4 linked regions of the Caenorhabditis elegans genome follow. The protein of the gene in region 3 interacts with the protein of the main gene of each other region in a pairwise test. Each region holds a gene or a part of one and is shown on either strand. Other genes may lie near its edges. The genes, in order: eif-2Bdelta, tfbm-1, skp-1 and pho-11.

Evidence for each region.
Region 1: the proteins of skp-1 (region 3) and eif-2Bdelta interact in a two-hybrid assay, tested with the Caenorhabditis elegans proteins (one study listed by BioGRID).
Region 2: the proteins of skp-1 (region 3) and tfbm-1 interact in a two-hybrid assay, tested with the Caenorhabditis elegans proteins (one study listed by BioGRID).
Region 4: the proteins of skp-1 (region 3) and pho-11 interact in a two-hybrid assay, tested with the Caenorhabditis elegans proteins (one study listed by BioGRID).

Annotation. Positions count from the first base shown.
Region 1 is NC_003283.11:9,512,188-9,518,180, forward strand, and holds eif-2Bdelta (Translation initiation factor eIF2B subunit delta), read left to right. Parts: upstream 1-1,636; 5' UTR 1,637-1,729; coding exon 1,730-1,783; intron 1,784-1,989; coding exon 1,990-2,127; intron 2,128-2,174; coding exon 2,175-2,241; intron 2,242-2,288; coding exon 2,289-2,591; intron 2,592-2,635; coding exon 2,636-2,853; intron 2,854-2,899; coding exon 2,900-3,406; intron 3,407-3,999; coding exon 4,000-4,146; intron 4,147-4,828; coding exon 4,829-4,984; 3' UTR 4,985-5,462; downstream 5,463-5,993. Other genes in the region: C50F4.8 (CPG4 domain-containing protein), read right to left, coding at 5,466-5,993.
Region 2 is NC_003279.8:3,853,656-3,861,193, forward strand, and holds tfbm-1 (Dimethyladenosine transferase 1, mitochondrial), read right to left. Parts: upstream 5,638-7,538; coding exon 5,515-5,637; intron 4,825-5,514; coding exon 4,678-4,824; intron 4,499-4,677; coding exon 4,311-4,498; intron 3,472-4,310; coding exon 3,290-3,471; intron 2,309-3,289; coding exon 2,011-2,308; intron 757-2,010; coding exon 591-756; 3' UTR 506-590; downstream 1-505. Other genes in the region: T03F1.11 (EF-hand domain-containing protein), read left to right, coding at 198-210, 268-500; guk-1 (guanylate kinase), read right to left, coding at 6,029-6,144, 6,211-6,434, 6,497-6,635, 6,812-6,928. UniProt on the Caenorhabditis elegans protein: Probable S-adenosyl-L-methionine-dependent methyltransferase which specifically dimethylates mitochondrial 12S rRNA at the conserved stem loop. Also required for basal transcription of mitochondrial DNA.
Region 3 is NC_003283.11:11,643,872-11,650,627, reverse strand, and holds skp-1 (mammalian SKIP (Ski interacting protein) homolog), read right to left. Parts: upstream 5,148-6,756; 5' UTR 5,131-5,147; coding exon 5,111-5,130; intron 5,066-5,110; coding exon 4,909-5,065; intron 4,864-4,908; coding exon 3,778-4,863; intron 3,729-3,777; coding exon 3,632-3,728; intron 2,850-3,631; coding exon 2,722-2,849; intron 774-2,721; coding exon 654-773; 3' UTR 538-653; downstream 1-537. Other genes in the region: Transcription factor zip-10, read left to right, coding at 1-65, 117-425; Chromosomal passenger complex protein bir-1, read right to left, coding at 5,354-5,698, 5,743-5,865.
Region 4 is NC_003280.10:9,930,269-9,934,952, reverse strand, and holds pho-11 (Putative acid phosphatase 11), read right to left. Parts: upstream 3,105-4,684; 5' UTR 3,091-3,104; coding exon 2,998-3,090; intron 2,913-2,997; coding exon 2,718-2,912; intron 2,671-2,717; coding exon 2,577-2,670; intron 2,357-2,576; coding exon 2,274-2,356; intron 2,180-2,273; coding exon 2,090-2,179; intron 1,804-2,089; coding exon 1,596-1,803; intron 1,552-1,595; coding exon 1,376-1,551; intron 983-1,375; coding exon 842-982; intron 797-841; coding exon 656-796; intron 610-655; coding exon 589-609; 3' UTR 522-588; downstream 1-521. Other genes in the region: C05C10.3 (putative succinyl-CoA:3-ketoacid coenzyme A transferase, mitochondrial), read left to right, coding at 83-406; C05C10.2 (DNA2/NAM7 helicase-like C-terminal domain-containing protein), read right to left, coding at 4,446-4,505, 4,622-4,684.

The sequences.
Region 1 (5,993 bases), 2.1 Mb from region 3:
TGATTCTTTTCTCAAGTTTCCAAAGCTTTGTTTTCTGAAAAAAAAAACTTCTAAATGCATGTTTCATCGTATTTATTTTAATATTGAATTAAGGCAGGGTTGGCTTAATTTATTGAGTAATGAAAAACTTTTTAAAACTTCAATGTTTCCAATTTTAGATCTCTGTTATATATGTTCTCTGACTATCAAAAATTAGTTTACTGAACTTAAATGTCTATGTGATTTAGAATTGACACTCTAAATTTCACCTGTTTGTATTCTTGCTCAAAACTCAAAAGGTCATTATGATTTTAGTCACTTAATTGGTCAACTTTTAATATGTAAGATTCTAATGTGTAGATTTTGTGAAAATAAACGAATAAATCAGGGATATATTGTTCTTGTTTCGGATTCTCAATTGCACTGTTTGCTGGACACTTTTTTACCGTTACGGTACAGTTAACACGTGAGCATTGACACATTTTCAAAGTGTTTAGTGTGCACTTTTTTTCAGAAACTTCCGTCGAAAATATCATTCGGGAGTTGGCCAGCTTCTCCCATACTGGTTCCCAATTGTATGCAGCATTCTATGGGGATTCATTTGCTTTTACTGTTATGGAGAAACTTCGGAGAGAAGATCATTTTTTAGGTGAGAATCATGGTTGACTGTGTTCTAAAATAAGTATTATTCAGGGCTAATCTACTTGAAAACTATCGTATTGATATCGACGATTATGCATATATGAGTGCAAATTTTTGGCCTTTAGATAAATTTGGAAATACAGCTCCTGATGTAAAATCATTCACAGGGGTCGTCGTGATACTGATCATTGTGGTAAATAATACGGATTAAGAAAAAAACAACTAAATTTTCCAGGGATCTTCATTTTGTAGCGTGCTCTTTTTTGGTATAAAATGCTATAGGTGTATATCTAAAAAATTGAAGAGCACTGGTATTATATCTGAAACTTCGAGAGCCCTTCAGAACCAGTTACTCCAGGCACTTGTCGTTCAAACGGCCATACCATTACTTCTCATGTATGTACCCGCCGGAGTATTTTTCACAGCTCCAATGCTGAATATCGAATTGAATTTGAAACATCCTATAATTGGGCATGCTGTTGCTTTGTATCCGGTTTTGGATCCGCTTCCAACTATTATTATTATCAAATCTTATCGACAGGGATGCATCGAGACTGTTAAGAAAATTATTTGTTGTGGACAGAACATGCCTATTGTAAGATGGATTAACCGACAGGAGAATAACGTTAATCCTATAAGTTACACGATGAGCAACTGAGTATTCGGCTTTTTTTTAAAGATTTCCTGACACGAGTCAGTATTGACAAGTATATAATCTTTTTAATTTCAAAATAGTATTTTTTAGTTCAGTTATTTTGAATTCTTGAATAAAATGCATGCATTGTTGTTATTGTTGGAATTAGTGCTTAGAATTTGCATTGTGGCACTACGCATAGCATCAAAATGTTTAATACTTTCATTTAAAGAATATTTAATGATTTCCTGTTACAAGAATTGAAATTTCTTCTCTAAATTAAATTAATTTGTCGATTTCCAAAAATACAACAAAAAAATAAATCAACGCGCACATAATGCGCCAACAGAGATTGCTGACGTACTTTTCGTGCATGACGCGTTTCTCGTGTTTCATTTCAAGCGTTCGGACACCAGCTTTTATTCTCTTTATTTTAATATTTTCTTGTAGTTTCGTCTGTAAATATTCGTTTAAATGAGCGATAAAAATATTAATACTGACAAAAAGCATCCTGCTGATAAATTAAAGGTTTGATTTTTTATTGTGAAATTGTGTTTTCAACGCTTTACTCAATTTTTGTTGCACTTGAGAATTTTTTGGGTTTCGTCGTCCTGAAAGTTTCTGCCGCCGCGAACGAACTTCACAATAATCTTCATTTCAAAGTACTAACAATCTATCTCATTTTATCTATGTCGTTAACTCAGAAACCATTAGACTTTGCATCAATATTTCAGGAAACTTTCGAAAAGCTGAACAACGAAGTAAAGTTACTTGGAATGATTCTCGGAGTAAAAAGTGAAAATAACCAGCAAGTGGTTCCGCCAACAACTGCAGAAGAGCCAGCTCAAGGTGAAGACAAAAATCAGTATCACGTAAGTGTTTCATAAGAATTTTAAGCAATAAATCTAATAATTTTCAGAAAGACGTGACTGCTGAAGATAAAAAAGCGAGAAAAGCAGCCAAGGCAGCTGAGAAAAAAGCGAGAGGTATCTTATTTATCTTTTTTTCCTAAAAAATAAATTAATTTTTTCAGCTGAAAAATCTGTAGCCAATAAAGCCGCCGCCGCCGCTGGGAGCACTCAAAATCAAGGGCAAAAGAAGGAAAAACCGCCAAAAGAGCATTCAGCAGTTCCATCTGAATCCACTACTAAACTTATCGAAGAAAATGCACAGCTCACGAAAACCACAGAACAGCTTGCAGCGAAAATGGAAACCTTGGTGATTGAAGATGTGAAGATTAATGGAAGTCTAAAGCCGGCGATAAAGAAATCTACTGGTGTTGAGAAAAATGTTCGACATGTTCATAACGTTATAATGCCTTCTGTGGTCACATTTGGTGAGTTTTTGATAATTTAATTTATTAGATTTGTTCTTTTGAAGATCTTCCAAAAAATCAAACGAAAACGTTGCCGTCTGCATCTGATTCTGACGAAGCAGTAGCATCAGAAATTGAATCAACAGCAATCGCCCAATTGGATGATGCGACGTCTTTTGTACACATTCATCCTGCATTCTTAACGCTTATGGCTAAAGCAGAATTGGAAAAAATTCCAGATGTTGAAACAGTTTGTATTCAATTTATTGCTGCTTTCAAAGAGGTAAAATATTATTTTTCAATCAAACTGTATAATTATTTTATTTTAGTTTCTGCGAGATTGGACAGTAGAACGAGAAAAGAATAATATCAATGCTTCCACATTCGGTCACGACCTCGATTTGGCTATTCGTCCACAACTTGCTCATATGACTCAAAATGGTCACTGGCCATTGCCATTTGCACTTGGGAATACAGTTCGATTGTTGAAAAGAACAATCAAACGACTTGAGGAAAGCACTAATATGAAGTGTGAAGAAGAATTACAAGTTTATCTGGAAGATACTTTGGCTATAAATTTCTGTCACGCGTACAAAGCCATCAGTCAACTGCTTGTTCGCAAAATTCAACAATTCAAAAAAGTTGTCGTGTTCGATTGGTGTCCTGTTGTGAATCATGTTCTTCTGGAAGCCAAACAACAAATTCCTGATATGCAATTGTCTGTTATTGATGCAAATTCCAATGGACGAGGTACGCGGCATGTGAAGAGTTTCGTAGATCAAGGATATAATGTCAAATACGTCACAATGAAAGGAGCTTCATGGGCGTCCCTGGCAGTGAGTTTTTTTTTAAAGCAGTATCGGTTCTAAGTGGTCTCAAATGCCAAAAAGAGCATTAAATTTGAAAAAAAAAGACAGACGATTTTTAAATTTTTGCTAATCTCCTAATTTGAATTGTCTCGCTTTTGTCTCTAAACTCCCCCAATAGAATCGAATTTTTCCAATTTCGACGAAACTTCTTTTTTTTTTTGCGGTTTTTTTCTGAATTTTAATAAGAAAACGATCATAAATATTAAAAAATATTTTTCGTATTTTTAAAGAACAAAAAATAACGTGTTTCTTGTAGAATCTCCGAAGGGTTAAATATTTTTTAATTACATTTTTTTTTGATATGAAAAATTTTTTTGGACATTTATTATATTTAAAATTTAGATTAAAATTTAGAAAACAGCGCAAAAAAATTATTTTCGTCGAAATCGGAAAAAAAAAACCGAAAGTGCGGCACGGCTGAAAAAGAGCGGTAATTAAAAAGAAAAGATTAACAAGAATTAGACATCAATTAATGTTTTTTTTCTTTTGTGGCATTTCGGAATTTGGGACCTGTTTGAGAATTTTACAGTGAAATTCCCATCTCAAAATGATATTTTCAGAGTGGAGTTCTCATTCTCGGATGTTCTGCTATTTTTGCAAATGGTGCTGTTGCTGCACGAAAAGGAGCATTGGCTGTAGTTTTGTGTGCTAATCACTACAATATTCCAGTAATTGTAGTTGCTGAACATTTCAAATTCATCGATAAGGTTTGTGATTTTTTCTACCTTTTTATTGGGAAATGAACCGAAACAAAAAATAGTTTATCGCTTGATTTGTTCAATGATTTGATGGGATGAATCGTGTACTCTCACGTCGACTAGTCACATGGTTTTGTTAAATGGCACGTTGATTTATGCTGATGACCACGAGATCGGTCAATGAATATGTACTGAAAAATTTTGAAAAGCAAAGTTATGATAAGAACTCAAAGAACGGATATTATGAACCTTTTGATCTGTCTTTAGAAATCTGCACCTGTAAAGTCAGATGTTGAATTTTTGTTGAAAAAAAATTAATGATCGATCATTAAAACATCTAAATTTATTGTAGTAGAGTTTTAGATTGGTTGAATACAAATTTAAAGGTGGAACACCAAAATCTGAAATTTTGCTTTTTTTTTTGTAATGAGACGTTATGAAAATTTCCCAAAAAAAAGTATTGCGGTTCAAAGTTTTGAAAAAATAATTTTATTTTCTTTTTTTCAAAACTTTGAACTGGTATAACTTCCTTTTTTTGGAAATTTCAGAACTTCTCATTACGAAATTTGGTAGTTTCGGGTATTTTTTGGTCTATAAAAGAAAGGTCGCAGATTTCGGTATTTCACATTCAAATAATTAAAATAAAAAAACACTGGTCATAACAAAATCAAACACAATTATATTTTTTCAGGGGCAAGTCTATCAGCGAGTCGCTCTTCTTGGCCGTCAGAATATTGAGTGCATCCAATCGGATCTTGTAACTGCTGTCGTAACAGATCTTCGAATCCTTGGACCAACATCAGCTCCAGCAGTTCTCAAGGCAAAGGCGTTGACTGATATGGCTTAATCAATCTAAAAACTAGAATTAATTTGAAACCACGGGTTAATCTGTTGTCGTCTTACGTTAGTTGATTCAATTTTTCGGTTCTTATGTAGTAGCCGTACCGTGAGAGATTTCTGACCAAGTTTTGAAAAATTTCCCGTTGTCTTGTTTTTAATAATTTAACTGTTTTTTTGGTAGTTTTCTAAGATTCATGATTTTGGAAAGAAATTAATTGAAAATTTGGGAAAAATATTTTTAGGATACGGCTAATATATAAGTCCATTTTTTCAAAACGGTATCCAGATTTAAGTATTTTTGCTTCCATGTGCCCTCTAACTGTTTCTTTTTGTTCTGTTTTAAATCACCAATATCATGTTTTCATAAATTTTTATTGTTCCTTTTTAAAATTTAGAAAAATAATAACAATCACCCGTCGTGTTCTGTTGTTGAGCTAAATTAGATGTCTAAACTATTTACAAATACAGAAAAACCAGAGTTCCAAAGATTAAAAGAAAAGAACAAATGGAACGAGGGAAGCAATAGAGATCGACAGAATCGATGAAGCTCTGATAAGTGGAGCTTGTACCAATTTTGGATGTGAAATTGGTTGATCAGCGACTGAATTGCTTTGCGCTACGACATCAGTGTTCTTTGGTGGAATTGATGGGGTTGGCATTCTGTATGTCTTGATATCAGCACAAACTTGTGGCCATTTAGCAACAGCATTCGTATCAAGTGCCATTTTTTCCATGCTTGCAAATGACTTACGAGTTAGGTCAATCACAAGTTGAGCAGTCTCCGAATCACATTCATGTGCAATTGTTGGAACATCACAATGAAGAGTACAAGTGATATATTCACATCCTTGAGCCAAATATTGTTCAGCCTTTGTAGTATCCCCGCTGAGCACAAGATTCTTGAAATTTTCAGTCATGGATGAGATGGCATTGTGATGTGGAGTACATGTTTTGACGCATTCCTTATTTGGCTTCATTTTGATAAGACATGGGAACTTCTCACGAATCGCATCGAA
Region 2 (7,538 bases), on a different chromosome or scaffold from region 3:
ATTTGCTAATCGTCAATGTTTGACACTTACAAACAACGACTTTCGAAAATTCAAATTAGTAAAACAAACAATCAATTGACAAAACATTCTCTCTCTTTTCTTTTTCTCTGAGATGCTTTTCCATTTATTTACCCACTCGGCACCTCCTACCCGCCTCCAACGGTTTTCGAGTGAAGCTCAGTCTTGAACTTTCCGTCATGGCTACTTGGGGTGAGCTTTATCTTTTTTTTTGTTGCCAAATTCTATAAATTTTCTAATTATTTCCAGAACATGAACTCCGTGAGATGTTTTCTCTCCACGACAAGGATATGTCTGGATTCATCAGCAAAGATGATGTGATCTGCATGTTGTTGGGAGCTGAGAAGGACGATAAGAAGGATCCCGTGTTCAAGACGAACCTCAAATTTTTGATTCAAGTCATCAAGGAGGCCGACAAAGACGGAGACTCCAAAATCACTTTCGATGAGTTCAAGGAGTACATCAACAAAGTCACTTCCTAAAATTCTTTCAATTTCTTAATGTTTTATCTTTCCAAAATTTATAACAAATCTAAACAATCTCAACAATAAACAATCTATAATATAACAAAATTATGAACAATTAAAATTCTTGAGCGACCACGTGTTGTCCGCCGAGTCAATTGTCGGAGCCGGTGCAAAGATGGGTACAGGAGGTGGAAGAGCATTGGGTTCTTTTGATAAATCTTCCAGATTATGCAGCTTGTTCGTGTAGTCATAGAGGAATAAGCCCGGATATCTGAAATGAAAAATTATTGAATTTCAACTAAAAAGAATCAGAATCTTCAATTCAATTTTTAATTAGTTGGTATTGTGAAATATACTATTTTTAAAGATATTAAAGGCATTTTTATTTCAAGAAATTTCTAATTTGCAGTTCTTGAAAATGTATCGTTAAATATCTTCGAAATCATTCTCGATGTTTAAAACTTTTATTAGATGCAAATCGTGTGCGCCTTTAAAGAGTACTGTAGTTTCAAACTTTTGTTGCTCCGTTTTATTTTGCATTAAACAAAAATATGTCGTGTCAAGACCTGATACCGTACTTTTTCGGCGAAAAATACCAAAATGTGACGTTTGTGTAGTATTGAAAGAAGGTCTGTGTTTTGGTGTTTGATGCTCGAAATCGAATAATCTGTCTATTTGTCGAAACTTTCCCGGCCACGAGAGATCAATTCGCACTGATTTCTTCAAAATTGTTTCACTCACGAGTGCACATTTTGGAGGATTGAGTATATATTTGTGTGCGTATCATTCATTTATCACGAGGAAGTTATTAAAAATTGAGATCATGTGTCGATTGTGTACTCCCCGAGAAGAAGTTTGTACAGGTTTTAGGTTTTTTTCGCGCTTTCAGTAAATAATTTTTGCATTTTCAATATTACGGGATCACAAAACTCGGAGAATGCGTATCGCGCAACATATCTGACGCGCAAAATATCTCGTAGCGAAAACTACAGTAATTTTTTAAATTACTACTGTAGCTCTTGTGTCGATTTTATTTTCTCATTTTTGCTTAATTTTAATATGCTATCGATGAATAAATGAGTTTAATTAATTTAGAAAATCGAGCCCGTAAATCGACACAAACGCCACAGTAGTCAGTTAAGAGGTACTGTAGTTGTCGCTACAAGATATTTTTCGCGTCAGATATGTTGCGTTCCCGTAATACAAACCTGATTAGCGCGAAAAATCAAAATTCGAAAATTTCAGCCGAAAAATGTGATATTCTTTGAACACAATTAACTCGCAGTTCTCCTCGAGGAGTACACAGACTGCGTAAATCGACAGATCGTCGTGTAAAAAAATCATCCTTCCAAATTTTGAGAGAACATTTTCAGTTTATTTTTTCTTCAAATATTTATTCTACGGCTGAGTTGCTTGACGCAAAGTCAGCTGCTACTTTTTTCAGAAAAGAAACACATTTAAAGGTTCTCAACTTTTTTTTGTTGGGTCTCGCGACGATTCACATAAATCTGTCAGAGTGTCTTACCGTATACACTGCTCATTATAACCTTCAGCAAGATCCGCAAATTGTTCAATTCCGAGCCGAATCGACGTTGTCGTCGGATCGATTCGACACTTTTTCAGTAGATCATCTGAAAGCTCGTCTTCCAATTCCTCAGGATACAGAGTTTTCAATCCTTTTGTTACATACTTTTGACGGTAATGGAACACTTGGCGACAAACTTTCTCGAGAACTTCAAACGATGTATTCACTAGAGGAGTCTTCCGTGGTACGAAACGAACAACTCCAACGTCAACTTGAGGTCTTGGCACGAAACATGAGCCTGAAAATGTTTTCGATATTCGCAACTTTTTTAATTACTTTTCCCTTTTTTCAAATTTTTCCTAAAATTAAAAATAAAGCAATCAAACAAAATTTTCAGTTTGATTTCGTGTTTTTGACGAAAAATTTCGATTTTTGTATTTAGCTTTGATTAGGATCAAGAGAGATTTTATATTTCTGTAAAATCCAAAAGTTTATTTAGTTCAAAAAAATTTTTTTTTCGATTTTTGAGAATTGCTTGAATTTTTGGGCATTTTCTTATCACGTTTTCTCATCAAATTGTGTTTTACAGCATTTTTTTTTTGATTTTCTAAACATTTTTCTCGATATTTCGATTTTTCATCTTTGACATCTTTGATTCAAATTGTTCAAAATTCTGGGTTTCATCTTGGTTTTCATTTTTGGATCCTTTTCAGAATCATTTTCCAAAATTAAGGGACGGGGAGCATTGCTCAGTTGGTTTAAAATGCCTTCGAGGAGTTGCGTGATTTTTTGAGATCCTCTCCAACTGGGCTTTGACGGGTACGGAGACCCGTGGCCCCTTCCATCCGAAGGATCTAATAATGATTACTCGGAGAACATATCTATAGATAACCTGCAGCCGACAAAAAACAATGTAGCGTTGGCATGCGAACTGTTGCAATAAAAGTCGTTATTTAATTTTCCGCGCATGTTTAATGTCGCCGACGCGACATCAATTTTTGCCGGCTGCCGTGTAATGACATAATGCTTCTAATTATTGGGAATTTCAAGTTCTCAAGGCGGTGAGGGGCATTTTGCAGACGAGAACTTCTCATCGACTGCTAAAACTCCGCTGTAACTCCGCTCTAACTCCGCTGCCCTACTACCTATAAATTTTGGAAAAGGATACCGAAAGGGGTCCAGAAAGTTGTGTTTAAGGGTCATAGGAAAACTAAAATTTTCGCGACGACGCTCCTAAATTTGAATTTTCTTGGATTGAAATTTGAGCAAAAAAACTTACCGGAAATCTGAAAAACCATCTTAGGCTCTGCCACGTATTGAGACATAATAGAGATACGAGACCGAGTATCACAGGCGATCGGAGAGCACAGACGTTTGGCGACTTCCAGTTGAAAAGTTAATGTTAGTGGAACTCGACCGTACTGCCAAACTCCTCGTCGGTATGACATGTCACGGAGATACCTAGAAATGGTTGATACATCACGGAAAATTCTGTATCACGTACAGGGCCGGGAGTTTTTAGGCTTTTTTTTTGGTATTTTGACCAAAACTGTTTTTTTTTGTTGGTATTTTTTGGTATTTTCTAGACCAAAAAAAAGGGTTCTAAAATAAAAGCATGCAATGCTAAATATTTTTTTTGCTTGAAAATCTGGAACTATAAAAATATAAGTTTGCAGGCTTGAATTCCCACCAGGGTTGGGACTTTTTTCGGTTTTTTTACCAAAAAAACCAAAAAAAAAAACCCAACAAATTTTTTTACTTTTTCACTGTTTTTTTTTTGAAAAAAAAATTCAAGCATCAAATTTTTTTTGGTGTTTTTTGGTTTTTCGCAAATTTTAATTTTTGTTTTTTTTTTTGCTGGTATTTTGACGAAAAAAAATTTTTTTTTATTTTTCTAGACCACAAAAAGATCTCAAACATTTTTTCACTTTTTCAGGATTGTTTTTAAATAAATTCGAGCATCAAAATTATTTTTTTGGATTTTTTTTGGTATTTCGCAAATTTCAATTTTTTTTATTATTTTTTGGTACCTGGGCTTTTGTTATTTGTTTTTCTGGGGTTTTGTTTAAAGAAACATGGCTTTTTTGGTTTTTTGGGGCCAATAAACACAAAAGTCAACAAAAATTCTTCGGTTCTAATATTTTTTGAAAATTATCCGTTTTGTCCCGTTTAAAATTAAATGATTTTTTGTTTGGTTTTTTGTTGATAAATTGGATTTTTTGTTTTTTATCCAAATTTTAAGCAAACATTTTTATTTATTTATTTATTTTCTAATTTCTACACATCTTTTCAGATCTTACTTAATAATAAGCGGTGAAGCAATATTAAATGGTAAATTCCCAATGACATGCATTGCAGGTAGATTTGAATCATGCCAATCCACAGATTCGGGTCTCGCGGTTTCATTTTTCCAAATATCTCCAATTTCCGTTCGAAGTGCATCCTGATGATGGATGAACATTCGAGAATCGGCTGCTTCCGCGAGATGCTGAAATTCGATTTTTCATTTTTTTTTTTCCATTTTCCCTCAAAATAAACTAATTTCGAAATTCTCCGAGAACATTTTTCCGGTAAAACGCTCCGTCATCATGATTTTGATTCCTTATCAGTTCACACACACACACTTTGCCCTTTGATAATAATTTATAATTTCCAAAAATGACAAACCTGTAACGGCGGAATAAATCTATTATCGATTTCTACGACGTCAAGCCTCGAGGCTCCAGCTTCAAGAATTGCTCGTGTAATTCCGCCAGGACCCGGTCCGATCTCGATTACCCAGTCTTTTTCGATCACTTTTGCGTGTTTTGCTATCTGAAAATTAATGAATTATAGAAGATTTTTATATTTGATTCTTTGAAATTTTCAAAAATTGCGATGGGAATTAAAATTCGAAATGTTGGAAAAAATTTCTAAAAGTTAAAAAAAATTAATTGAAAAAATAGGACTTAAAATTTGAATTTTTTAAAAATTTTTTAATGTTGTTTAGTTGCAAAAATGGGACTTAAAATTTGAATTTTCAAAAAAAATTTAAAAATTTTTAAAGACTACAGTATTTTTCTTGTTTATCTAAATACATTTTCACTTACTAATTATAATTTTTCAAGAAAAAATGTTGAAACTACCACACTTTTTAAAGGAGCACGCTCTGTTTCAACTAAAATTACCGTACAAACTCTGAGAATGCGTATTGCACAACATATTTGACGCGCAAAATATCTCGTAGCGAAAATTTAGTTAAATGACTACTGTAGCGCTAGTGCCGATTTACGGGCTCGATTTTCAAAAAAAATTTTTTTTTTAATTGTCGAGCCCGCTACAGTAGTCATTTAAAGAATTACTGTATCTTTCGCTACGAGATATTTTGCGCGTCAAATATGCTGTGTAGTACGCATTTTCAGAATTTTGAGTTCCCGTAATATTTTTGATTTAAAAACCGGAAAATTTTTAATTTTTAAATTAATTTTTTGGAATTTTGCAAATAAAAAATTTCAGAAATCCAACCTTTCTTGTGATATTCATATCCATTAAATAATTCTGCGAAAGAATTTTCTTCGCTCTCAACCTGTACATATGGATGAAATCTCGTAGTGCCGGGAGCGGCGGGAGACGTGAAGCAGAAGCCATCTATGAAAATAGTTCAGATTTTTTTCTCTAAAAAAATCCGAATTCTCACTGAAAATAGTATCTGCCATTTGGAACAGTTTTTTAAAAACCAAAATTATTGTATTCAATACGTATTAATACGAAATCAAATAATTATTATGAAATGAATGAGACAAAAAGAAAATAACTTGAGAAGTTGACTAAAGAAGACAAAACTGAATTGCAAAAAAAAAGGAGGGAGCAATAAATAAAAAAAGGGAACAAAGTTTGTTGGAATAAAGCAAATTTGAAAGAGGTGTATTGAAAGAGAGAGATAAAGAGTACCTACCACAACCAGAAGACACTCAAGTTCATCAAGACAGAAAAAATTGGAGGAATGACTGAATAGAGACAATTTTTAAAAAATAATTTATTATTTTTTGGAGGTTTTTTCGAGATCATCACGAAGAAGATCGACGAATTCCTTATAGGCACGTTCCAAATCATCGTTCACAATCACTTTGTCGAAGAGCGTTGGATTTTTTTCGACTGAAAACAAATTAAATTAAAATTTATATTACTTTTCTTTTTTCAAAAAAGGCAAAAAACGCTCACTTTCAACTAAATCCTCAGATGCATGTTGAAGACGCTTCGAGAGGCTCTCCTCGGTTTCGGTTCCTCTTGCTCTGAGTCTTTCCTCGAGAAGCTTGATGGATGGGGCACGGATCAGAATGTATCTGGCGTCGAGATGACTATTCTTGATGTTTCGAACTCCTTGCAACTCAATATCCAGAACGCAGATCTTTCCGCTATTTTCGATTTCTAGGACGGTTTTCTTGCTGTAAAAATAAAAATAAATTTTTTTGTTCTGTTCCAAAAATATTCGATTCCAAAAACCAACCTAGTTCCATAAGTATTTCCGCTAAACGTGGCGAACTCCAGAAACTCGTTATTTTTAATCATTTCCTGCATCTTCTCCTTTTCCGTGAAGTAATAGTGTTTTCCGTGCTCCTCACCGGCTCTTGGCTGTCTCGTTGTGTCTGTAAAACTATTTAATTTTTTTGGAAATACACAAAATGTGCCCAGACAAACGAATTTTATACCGGAACTTTACAAAAATTACTCAAAAATTTTTTATGGTGATTAAAAATTTAAGATTTGAGCAAAAATGAGGTTTTTTCTCGAAATTTGGAATCAAATTTTGCCAAAAACTCACGAGAAACGCTGAAAGCAAAGCTATTTGGGTATTCCTGCATGGCTCTCGTCAAAATCGTACTTTTTCCTCCACCCGATGGTCCGGAGAGCACAATCGGCCGGCACGGCATTTTTCGAACTGAAACGAAATCGAATTATTTTTTTTTTAATCGAGAAGTTTTCTTTTCTGAATGTACCGAAACTGTTGAATATGACAGATGTTAGCTTCATGGCGGCACGAAAATTTTGTTGTTAAAAATGAACAAAGTGTTAGTAGAGAATCGAGAAAGACTCGACGCGCAAAAAAAATAACGTGACACAACACAAAAAGTTTATTATTTTCAACCAGCGGCGCTATGGAGTGACAGCAGAGCGCGTTTGAGCGAAATTTAAAAGAGAGAAAGCTTTTGGCCTAAAATTGTTTTACTTGCGGCGGGAAAATTCAAACATTTTGAAGTGGGGAATTGATGGAAAGGAAAATTTGATTTTGTTGGTTTCGCTATTACACAGCTGCAAAAATACGGTACCCGGTCTCGACACGACAAATTTTAATAAAATGCGAAGAGTTGTGCATCTTTAAAGTGTACTGTAATTTCAAATTTTTGTTGCTGCGGAATCGAGATTTTTATTTAAGTGTTTTTAATGATATTCTTAGTTTTAAATATATTTTTAAAGAAAAACTACGGCAATTGCAATTTAGATTGATGAAAAATCCGCAGTAACGTAAGTTTGAGATTACAGTACTCTTT
Region 3 (6,756 bases):
TCAATCTGCCTGTTTTGCCATTTGAAAGTTCTGCTTCTTTGGGAACATCTACCACATCCAGCTCGGTAAGCATATCATATTTTCTCAAAATCTTGTAATATTATTTGTATTTTCAGAGATGCTCTTCAACTGAAAGTTCTGCTGCTCCTGGTAAAATCCGTCGTGGTCGACCACAACAAGAAATTGCAGATGGACAAGATGCTCACAGTCAAAAGAAGCGTCATCGCCGTCTTTATGCTCGCCAGTACCGTGCTCAAATGCGCCAAAAGGTGGAGAATGTGAAAAGTCTTCATGATGAGAAGGAGCAACTCGAGTTGGAAGTAAAAGCTCTCCGGCAAGCAGTTAGTGGTCTTCAACAAGAAAATGCTCAAAAAGATTTCTTGATCAGTATTTTGCAACTCAATAATCAAATCAACCATTCCTAAGAACATCTTCAATATTCCCCTCTCCCGAATCCTCTTTGCCATAATTTTTCAAATTCGCTCATTCTTTGCTGACATAATTTGGTCTTCTTTCGAAATGTTATTAATAAAAATTGACACGGTTTTGATTCATCTTTGTGCAAACATCCAACTACAGAAGAGTTACAGAGATTCTTTCCAAAAAAGAAGTTGAGAAAAAATAACAGAAAACAAATAAAAAATATATTAAAATTAGTCGCGTCGAGACCTCTTTGATTCTCCACGGGAGTCTCCACCATCCCCACCTCGTTTCTTTTCTTTGGTGTGCTCGAAAAGTGATGACAATCCGAAAACATCTTGATCCTTCTCGAACTGAAATAAAAAGGTTAACATTTTGTAGTGATTCATAAATGCACAGTGACATTTAATGTTTTATGACTCATTGATAAGTAAATTTTAGAAGTAGTCACAGTCATTTTAAGAGCATCTTTTATGCAATTTCCTTATGAAATCTTTAGAAATTAGGTTTCAAAAAAATAATTCAGTAAATACATATATTTCTGAATACTACGGGTCCACACACTCAATTTCGCAGATGGAATTTTCTAAATTTCAATAACGTTCGATTCACAGTTAAACTCAATGCGTATAAACTATTTCGTTGGAATCAAATGCACTTTGACCAGATTATAGCATTTTCTACGCGTTCTGCAACAATTCGATCGTCACACGCAAACATGCCAAATCGGCCGCCATCGTGTCTGTCCTGTAATTCTAGACGATTCCGCATCGTCATCATTTTCTTGATAAGTTTATAATAAACTTTGTAAGAAATTTCGAAACTATGCCATGCACAATCACGATTCGGAAATATTGTCATGAAATATACTAGAATTATCATTGTCATTCTTAAAATGGCATGAAAATCGTATTTTCTGTCATCATCATCATCTAATGTTTTGCCCTTTGAACGCTGCTTGAACCAATTTATAAATCGACACGGATGATCGTTGGCTTATCCGCTTACTGCTTATCACTCAGTTTAGATGTTAGTCTACAATTAACACCATTTCGCCGAAAAAGTTTACCCAGCTCCCCGAGTTCGCTGCAAACAATTCCGGAAAAAAAATACGTTTCCTGTTCAAATCTAAACTATGAACATGGTTTAAACATTTGAAAAATTGGTGTTTTCAATATAGTAAATGCCAAATTTTTCAAAAATTTCAATTTTTTGATAAATTTCGATTATTTCTACAGGTTCGATCCCTAGAATTTCCAAATACGAATAAATACTATAAAAACTGGGAGGACAACTGTTTATTTCGTCCACTTTCATAATAAGCGAAAACTAAAACTAAGATTTTTTTGTTAAAAAATGCAATACGTATTTTTAACTACAATGCCACTTTGAGAGTGAAATTTTGATTTGAGCTGTTTCATTTACACGTATATTCGGAGCAAAAAGTTATCATTTCCTAAAAATAGACCGAAATATAGTCAACACCGCTCTAGTTCTGTCTAGTATTTCAGTCATTTCAACTTTTAGAGTAAATCACATGTTGGTTCTAATGCTTCTGGCTTGTTGGTGATAAGACGTGATATTTCGTAAGTACTGATAGTGATTGGGTTATGAAAGATGCTCGCAAACACCAGCCTCCGTAGACACAACTCGATAAAATGCTGATCGTTCAGCTCGAAATGTGACTAGAAACAGTAAAGTAATTTAATACATTTTATGTGTTAAACTGAAGAGAATCTGCATCCCGAACTTAAGTAAAAAGAAAAGCTAATCGGCTATGATAGAAAAGATATAATTAGTTTTTGTTCAATAAGCTCTGAGCATTGTATAAAACTACAATATTGATGAATCCATAATTATTTATTATAACTCTAATTAGAATATCTAAAATTGGTTAACTTTTACAATCAAATTAATCGTGAGTTAAAATACATCAATAGTTCATTTCGACCATAAAGAGAATGGATGAAAACTGAACTTTGACATATTTTAATTATTTTAATCTTATTTTATCAATAATGTCAAACATATTACGCACGACAATTGAAGCTCATAAACCAAGAATGTAAAGAATCTTTTCTACTTCCAAAACACACTGCTGTGCGTGTCTTTTCGGAATGACGTAAATTAATGATCCATTTATGATAATGACCGCACAAATCAACGAATTGGTTCAATTCGTCGTTACTTATCAGTCAATTTTTGACGCTCATCAACAACGAGCCAGCGCCCAAATTCTCAAAATTCCCAGCTATTTTAGTAACGTAGTTAAAATTTCTGACAACAGATCAACTGACTAACCTGAACAGGTCCAGATCCACGACTCGAGCCCTCTGCTCCTGAAAATCCTTTATCAGCTACAAACCGATTCTTCTGTTCGATGATCTTGTCCAAATCGCCACCATAAACATCGTTGTCGAGATTTTTGCCTGCAAAAGTTTTATAAATCGTCATTTCTTCCTGTTTTGACAAAAATACAATTATTTTCGAAATTCGTATTTGCATAACGTCATTTTAATCGTAATGACTGCAGTACTACAAACGTCTTATCAAATACTAGGCACCTAAGTTGTGATTCTATTTTTAACGACAAATGAACCAGAACGGACATGAAAGTCAAATACATCAGTATCATCAAAGAGTTTTGTGAATTCCAACACCAATGAATTAGAAAAACAATAAATTTTAGAATGTCACAAATTCCTCAGTTCAGACATACATTAGGAAATCATTTCAATTTTGAAATATTAAAGAACTAACGGTTCTAGTTATTTTTGAACGTTTAGATTTTTATGGCGGTTCGAAATTTAGAAAAAATGAATCAATTTTGGCGAATTTTTCGTGTCGCAGAGGTTCAAAAATGATTTTTTTTGAATTATAATCTTTTTTTAAATTTTAATATCACGTAATATCGTCAATTGAGGTACTTTTTAAGCAAACATAGGTAATCAATTTCGGTAACCTTTCGATTTTAAATGTACCTTAGAATAGCATAAGATAAACTGCCAAAATAAGATTTCAGCTAAAATAATGTTTTTTTTTGAAATTTTAAAACGCCATAAAACTTTTTTTTTGAAAAACTTCTGGAACGTTTCATTATGAAATTCGTTCATTTTAGAGCATTGTGGGTATATATATATATATACATTCAAAATACCTAGACCCGTTACTAATTTTAATTTATATTTGAAAATAAGCAAGAAAAACTAACTCGGTCGATAAACGTGCTGTTGAACACTGTCACCGCCACGCCACGCAGCATCATAAGGATTGTAAGTATCATCGTCCATTGCTCCACTGTCGAGTCCCTGAAAAATAAATATATTAGTTAAATTTTATCGAAGAAGGAACTGAAACCTGGGTTTTATCAAACAATCTTTGATCGAACTGTGGTTCGCCAGTTCGTTTCTGATTCGTGTCCGGCAAACCAAGCACAATTTTCTCCGAAATATCTCTTTCACGCTCTTTGCGAAGCTTGTCAGCTTTATCTGGTCGTGAACGAGCAATATTTCTTTCTTTCCTGATATCGTCGAGACGATCACGTCGAATTTCTTCGCGAACTTTGACTTGTTCATCATCTTCATCGTCCTTTCTCCGCATCGCTGATCTTTCCTGGCGGGCTTTTGCTGCGGCTTCTGCCATTTTAGCCTCTTGCTCAGACTTCTTATTTTGAGCAACGCGTCTTTCAAGCTGAGCACGTGTCTCAACCTCTTCACGAGCTTTTCTATCAGCAATGTACAAAGCATCAGCAAGCTTCGCAAAGTTTTCATTAATATGAGTCTGTTGGAGACCACGTCCATCAGCAGCCAATCGTTTGTCCAACCCAACTGTGAATCCTTTTGGATTTTTCCAATTTGAAATACATGGTGGAATCTTCCAATCGTTTTGATCTTTAGCTGTCATTTTTCTTGGAGGAGAATGCATGACTGGTGCCGGTGGAGATGGTGGTGCTCTAGGAATCTTCTGATTGATTTTGAACTTTGGTGGTTCCATCGGATCTTTTTGTTCTTCAACCATTCTGATGATGCGCTGTTGTGATCCAGCAGCTCCATTCTGCTGACTTGGAGTGTATCTGATATATTGAGCAGGTGCTAACTTGTCGGCATGACGAACAGGAAGTGCTGAGGCTACTTTTGAATTTACGATTTTTTCCAAAGCCATTCTTGTCTTCTCCGTAGCATCGATAACAGCGTCATCGTCTGGTTTCTGAATATCATCATCATCCTCGTTCCACGTCTTGGCTTTCATATCATTAAGCTTGGAGTAGACAACTTTATCCTTAACATGTCCGATACGAGCAATAGCATCGTGTTGTAACTTTCCATCAGTTCCATATTGCAAGGCGAGCGTATTTTCTGGCTTTCCTCTCATATCTCCAAGACCTAATCCGAGAGGAAACTGAGCAACGTGAATTTCAGGGAACGCTCCGCCATCGCCAAAATCCTGGAAAAGAAAAATTAAGAAGAATATTAATATTTTCAATCTCACTTCAGGCCCTCTTGGTCGAAAACTGGTCCGTTTTCCGTACGGCGGTGGTTCCTTCGATACGAGTGCGGCGGATGGTTCGTTATCGCGCCCACCAAACCAAGGATCTCGTCGAATCTGTGAAGCTGCTTCGTCTGCCGCCACAGGAGCAGGAAGGATACTAAAAAACATTGGTTTTACATGATAATCAGTGAAATACACTCACTCTCGTAGTTTCATCGACATCCTGATGAAATACTGTCCTGAAATTGTTTTTTTAGACAAAAAAAGAATCAAATACAAAACTGGAAGATATTGTAGTGCCGATGAAACACAAGTTATAATTTCAAAACAAAAACATTGAATGAATAATAAAATAATGAATTAAGTGTTTATTGAACAGTGATTAAATCGAGTATATGAGATCAAATCAATAATTGGATAAGTTGCAGTAAGTGATGTAGAAAAATTATTTGCCGCGGCGGCTGTTAGATTTTGTTGTCGATGCTGTGTTCGGTACTTTTTTCAGCTGATCGAAGAGAGCATCAGAAGAAGAATGATTAGACAAATTATTTATCATCATCTCATGCTCAAAGAGTTTAGTCATAATCATGGCGGTTTGTGAGAGACGAACGGTATCGTTAATAGTTAATTCCGAGTCATCGAGCTTTCCAATCCGTACAAACTCGCACGGTTCATCACGTTTCGTGTGCTCGTACCACGGATCGTCTTCTGGGTCAAAATCAAGTTCCTTGTTGCAAAATGCACATTTGCCAGACTGAGGACCGGTGCAGTAAAATCCGGCTTGAGCAACCTAAAACAAGAATAATTTTATTTAAAACACGAAAATGGACAAACCGCTTGAGACGTGCATTTTGCATCCGGGTCTCTATCATATTCGAAATTTTTGAATGTCATCAAGCGATCTTTGTAGAATGTGAATTTTGCCATATCCGACTTTTTTTTGGTCCCGGGTGCCATTTTCTGAAATCAATGAAAAACAACTAGGTATCTTAATCTTGAGGAATCTATTTCGAACAGGTAGAGATTAAAAATTCGAAATACAGTTAAGAAGATTTGAACTAAAAACCACAATTCCAAAAAAATAAGTTGAAAGCGTTGAAATCGATTGATAAAAGGAAAAGATAAAACGAGACTTACATTGAAAATAATAAAACTTCGTGGCGTATTTTAATAGATTTCGAAAATGAAGTTTAATTTCATGAAATTCGCGCATCCACGCCACGTGGTTTTATTTTTTCAGTGTGTATTTAAATATAAATGAAAAACAAATCTCAGAAAACATTTATCGAATAAAATGTTGAAAAATCAATAAATGTAGCTCGCGTCGCACTGACGAATTTCGCGCTGAAATATACAGCCACCAAGAAAGCTAGGCCACGGCCATTGGTCAGTAGAGCGCACGTGCGCGCGTACCAAAACCTCCAAGAAGACAGGAAACTCAATGAGTTTGTTGAAAACTAAACAAATTAACAATAACTTTGATTCAATGGAAAAAGATTCTATTAACTTTTTAACCGGACGGTGTCGATCGAGCCTGCGGCTCAACCTCTCTCAACTGGCTAAAACTGAAATTTACCGTATTTCCTCTATTAAATAGTTAGGCACCTCTATTAGTTTTGCACCTCCATTAGTTTTGCATCTAAAATCACTAATCGAAAATTAGTTTTGCACGCTCTATTAGTTTTGCACCTCTAATAGTTTTGCACCCCTCCATTTGTTCCCTATTTTTAGGAATTTAAAATTTGCATTATAAAATCGTTCTAAAAATTAGGAAAACTCTTACAGACTTGGTATAACAAGTCAAAATTGGCAAAATATGAGTACAATTCGGACAATTTTTGCGTATCA
Region 4 (4,684 bases), on a different chromosome or scaffold from region 3:
AAAACAAAAAATTTAGACAACTTCATAAAAATATACTTTTCCGCTTAATCTTCCATCTTAATAAATTTCTAAAATTTTCCAGGGAAAATTGGTGAAAGGAATGGGCGGTGCAATGGATCTTGTCTCTGCTCCCGGAGCCCGTGTGATCGTTGTAATGGAGCATGTATCGAAGAACGGAGAGCCAAAAATTCTAGAGCACTGCGAACTTCCTCTGACCGGCAAAGGAGTAATTTCCCGAATCATTACTGATATGGCAGTTTTCGACGTGGACACAAAGAACGGATTGACATTGATCGAAGTCAGGAAGGATCTTACTGTAGATGATATCAAGAAACTCACCGCTTGCAAATTCGAAATTTCCGAAAATCTGAAGCCAATGGGACAGGCTCCTCTTAATCAAGGATAATTTGTCAATTTTGACAAATTTCCGTGAAATGTGTAAATACTTCTTTAGTCCGTTGTTTGTTACTTTTTTGTCTTTTGCCTATAATACCGGTTTAGGATTGTGTGAACAAAAAGAGTTTTAATGAAATAGTTCATAAAAAAATATAAAAATTGAGTTACAACAAAAATTACAGTTCCAGTAATTCATAGAGGAGTTTTGCAGAGCTGAAAATTTTTTATAAAGTCGAAATTTTTGGAAACAAGAGCTTACAGTAGTAATATCTGGAAGTGGCTTCAGTGTCTCGGCCAAAGTCTGAAGAGCTCCAAGTGGACACAAGGTGGCTCCATTACAAATTGGAAGTTGACTTGTCACATCAGAAATCGGAGTGTCATCTCCTTCACGGTACAGAACCTGAAAATTTAATTGTTCGAATTTTCTGGTTTCTCTCTGGAATACCTTGAAGAATCTCTCGTTTGTTGACGTGTTTCTGTGGAATTCCATAAATATTCCAGCTGCGTATGCTGGCCATCCGTCAAGTGTGTTAGCGATTTGTGGAATACCAAGAGCAACCAGGACACCGTACACATTGTTGTCATGCTGGAAAACGAATTTGTTGTGAGATCTTGGAAAATTGATTTCAAAAATTAAAAAAAACATTTTTTTTGTCAAAATTTTTTTTTCTGAAAATCCTGAAAAAATTCGCATGAAAAGTAACTAGCTTTTCTTTTCTTTTTTTTTATATTTCAATTTCTTAGAGTTACCTACAATGCTTGCCTACATTCCGACAAGCCTTGACTGGTGCCTCGGCATGAGGTAGGCAGAGGTAGCTAGGGATGAACAGATTCCTACCTACTATGATGGTATACTTAACTTCCAGTCAAGTACAGTAATACTACCGTAGTCTACCGTATTCCCAACTACGGTAAGATCGTGGCTAGATATCATGCATTTTTGAACTTAAATTATGGAGTAAACTTTAAAATCTCTTACAATAGAATATCCATAGAATTTCAGCTTATTCAAATAGCTAGTGCAGTTTTGTCCCAGCTCTGCACAATTCAATTTTTCATTGGCACGATTGAAAACTTCATTGATAATAACTCCGGATCGAACTTTTTTGATTTCAAGACCCACATCGAGCCCGGAAGAAGTGACAGCAGGATTCTCTGAAACCAAGCTTCACTGAGACTTTAATCTCGTCCCAACTAACCAAAATTTCCCTCTAAAAATCCCTTAACCGGAGCATATGTAACTTGGGCTTGATAGTAGAGTTCTTCATTGTACCATGGAAGCTTCGCGTACATAGTTCTGTTGAAATATGCTCTCTGGCATTTCCACGTATCTGGGTATGTTGTGAAGGAGTCTAGGCCAGATGTCATGTTGTAATATCCACCGACACGACGGTTAAGTAGGACCACCTAAAAATTGAAATTCAGAGGAGGCACGTGCCTGCCTACCGTCTATTTTCTACATTCAGGCAGTCAGGATTTAAACTACAATATTTGAGATTCACATATTGTAGCTTTACGCATTTGATCGAATGATAAATGAACAATCGTTCACGAAAAACTTGACAGTAGGTCTACTAGTAGGCAAGCGTCTAGGCGGAAGGCAGGCATTTTAGGCGCCTGTTCATAGTTACCGACAAAGCCATCACAACGTGAATACGGTTACCGATGATAGTATAATTCAATCAAACCTTACCTGCGTATACTTTGGCAAAACTTCCGGAAGAGTCAACATCTGCCCTTGGAGAAGATCGTATCTTGTGCATGGACAGTTCTGACTAGCGGCCTGGAAAGGTTTGTAATAATTTTGTAATTTTAACTGGCACGCGCAGTAAGATTATTTAAGACTACTCGAGAACCAATGTAAATTTACAACATACACACTGATCCGGACCATCGACGTGAACTGGAACAAACGTGAATCCAGGGAACCAAGTGAGTGGGGAGTATGGATAGTCAACGTCTGAATATGGTAATCATCAAAACTAATGCATTAGAGGTAATATAATAGTTGGATTTTTGCTAATTTTATAAGAGACGTGCAGACAATTTCAATATGAAAAATTAAAAAGTAAAGATATCACTGGACTAAATTTATCTATTCGTTCAACAGAAAAAGTCATATTGGCTTTAAGTTTGAACCGTTTGGCATAAAAAATTTAATCAATTTTTTGACAACCTACTTTTGACATCATACAAGCTTGGTGGAAACAGCCCGTACAAAAGTGATTGTGCCGAAATAATGGTACGATTGAAATTAGTTGATCTAAAATATACCTGGAAATAATCATATTTTGGCACGTTCTAACATTTTTAGGGTATACCTCTCTGGACGCATACTTTGGTGTCAAAAACTTCAATTTAGTAACATATCTTTTACGAATAAGCCATCCAAGTTCGTTCATTTCTCCCATTCCAATTGCAGTCAGCTCTCCGAGACCACCTCCTCCATAAATCCAATCTTTTTCGTAAATTGGGTATTGATCAACTTGAGATGCACGTTCTCCGTGTCTCCACATCTTGAAATAATTAAAAATAAATTGTACTACCCAAGTAACTTTCACTGAGGACTAAATTTGGCATTTAGGATTTCATATAACTTACCGCTTGAACAAACTCCAATTTGACATTGCTCTGCCCATTAGCAAATACCAAAATGGCTGTTGAAGCCAACAGACTGAAAATTGAGATCATCATAATTTTTGATCTACAAATGTTCCTATATCAGAACAACCTATTTAAAGAGTTGAGCTCGTTAAAAAAACCATAAAAATTGTTTCAAAATCATATCTTCAGATAGAAAATGAATAAAAATATGGTCAGTTTAATAGATATAACTATCCCGCGTTTCGATTTTCTCGTGATTACATGATAAAGCCATGTACTTTTCAGAGTGATGATAGACTGAACTCATAAAATTGGTGTGAAAGAATATGTAAACAAACTAGGTCTGCAACATTTTTTCTTATCGAATGGATATTTTATCAATTCTGGTCTAAAGTCGAAATATATGCTATCTAAAAGTTTGTGACCATGGCCGTGATCTTTGAGCACTTTTGAAAGTACCATTTATCGAATGTTGCAAAATTCATGAAACAGTCTCTGTCAGAACTATTCATGTTTTTAGTTTTTAGTATTTTTTCCAGATATATTTTTTTGCGTTTTCCAGATCTTGGGCAGGCGTTAGGCACATCCTGATTAGGTCTTGGCACAGGGCGAAGTTTACCAAAAATTTTTGGCACGTGCTCGCTGGCTGCCTCAAAATTCATGTTTTCTCGCGGACAAGAAAACTTGAGAAATGTGAGCAAATGGCCTTGAAAATCCTGGAAGAGGAGAATTCCTCGTCCACCGCCAAAATAGCGTGTGAAAGAAGAGACGCAGATGGCAAAACGGTTATCCTTTGTGTTTTTCACGTCCAGAGAAAAAAGTATTATCTGCGTCTCTCACCGCCAATGCATAGCGAGAGTTTGCAAAAAGCATTAATCTGTTAAAAAATTTGACTAAAGTTGGCAGAGCCATTTAATGCGTTTTTTAGTTCGTTCGTGAATAGTCCTACCAACAAAAACAACAGTTAATTTGTAAAGTATCCATTAAAGGATTTGAACTGTTAGTTCTCAATTAGAAAAATAAAGGTATTAGTTGAATTTTTCTTCATGGTTACTCTATATCTTTTTAATGGCTATTATATTGTACGCACTTAAAACCAACTTTGAAAATTTATAGTTTTTTATTTCTAAATTGTAATACATATTACAAGTTTTATTTTACCATAATTCTCTTGGTCCCAACTTTTTCCGTACAATTTCTGAAAATGTTTAAACATTCTTCTGTGATTCAATGTCTTCAAAAGAATTTCCAAGACAGACAAAATCCATTTCATATAAAAATGGAACACTCAATTTCAACAGAAAAAAAACACTCAATTTCAACAGAAAAAAAAAATTAAAACAACCAAAAAGTGAAAGCTTGGAGATGGAAACAAAAGATCATCATGAAAATTTGATATGAATACAAACGGTAAAAACAACTAGTAGAAGACTAAAATTGGATATTTATGTTGATTTCTGGATGGTGGGCCAATCTCCATACGTCTCGTCATCCCATTTCTGAAACTATTATCGGATTAGATCAGTCAATGTTTGGATTACAGTATGTAAAAGTTACTTTTACTGCGATGATATAAACTTTTAAACATTAAAAAATGGCAAATAATGAATGCCCTGCTTACCCCAACAAATTCTGGATTCAATGAGTTAGTCACGCTCCGTTGGCTACCGTAATCATTGTTACT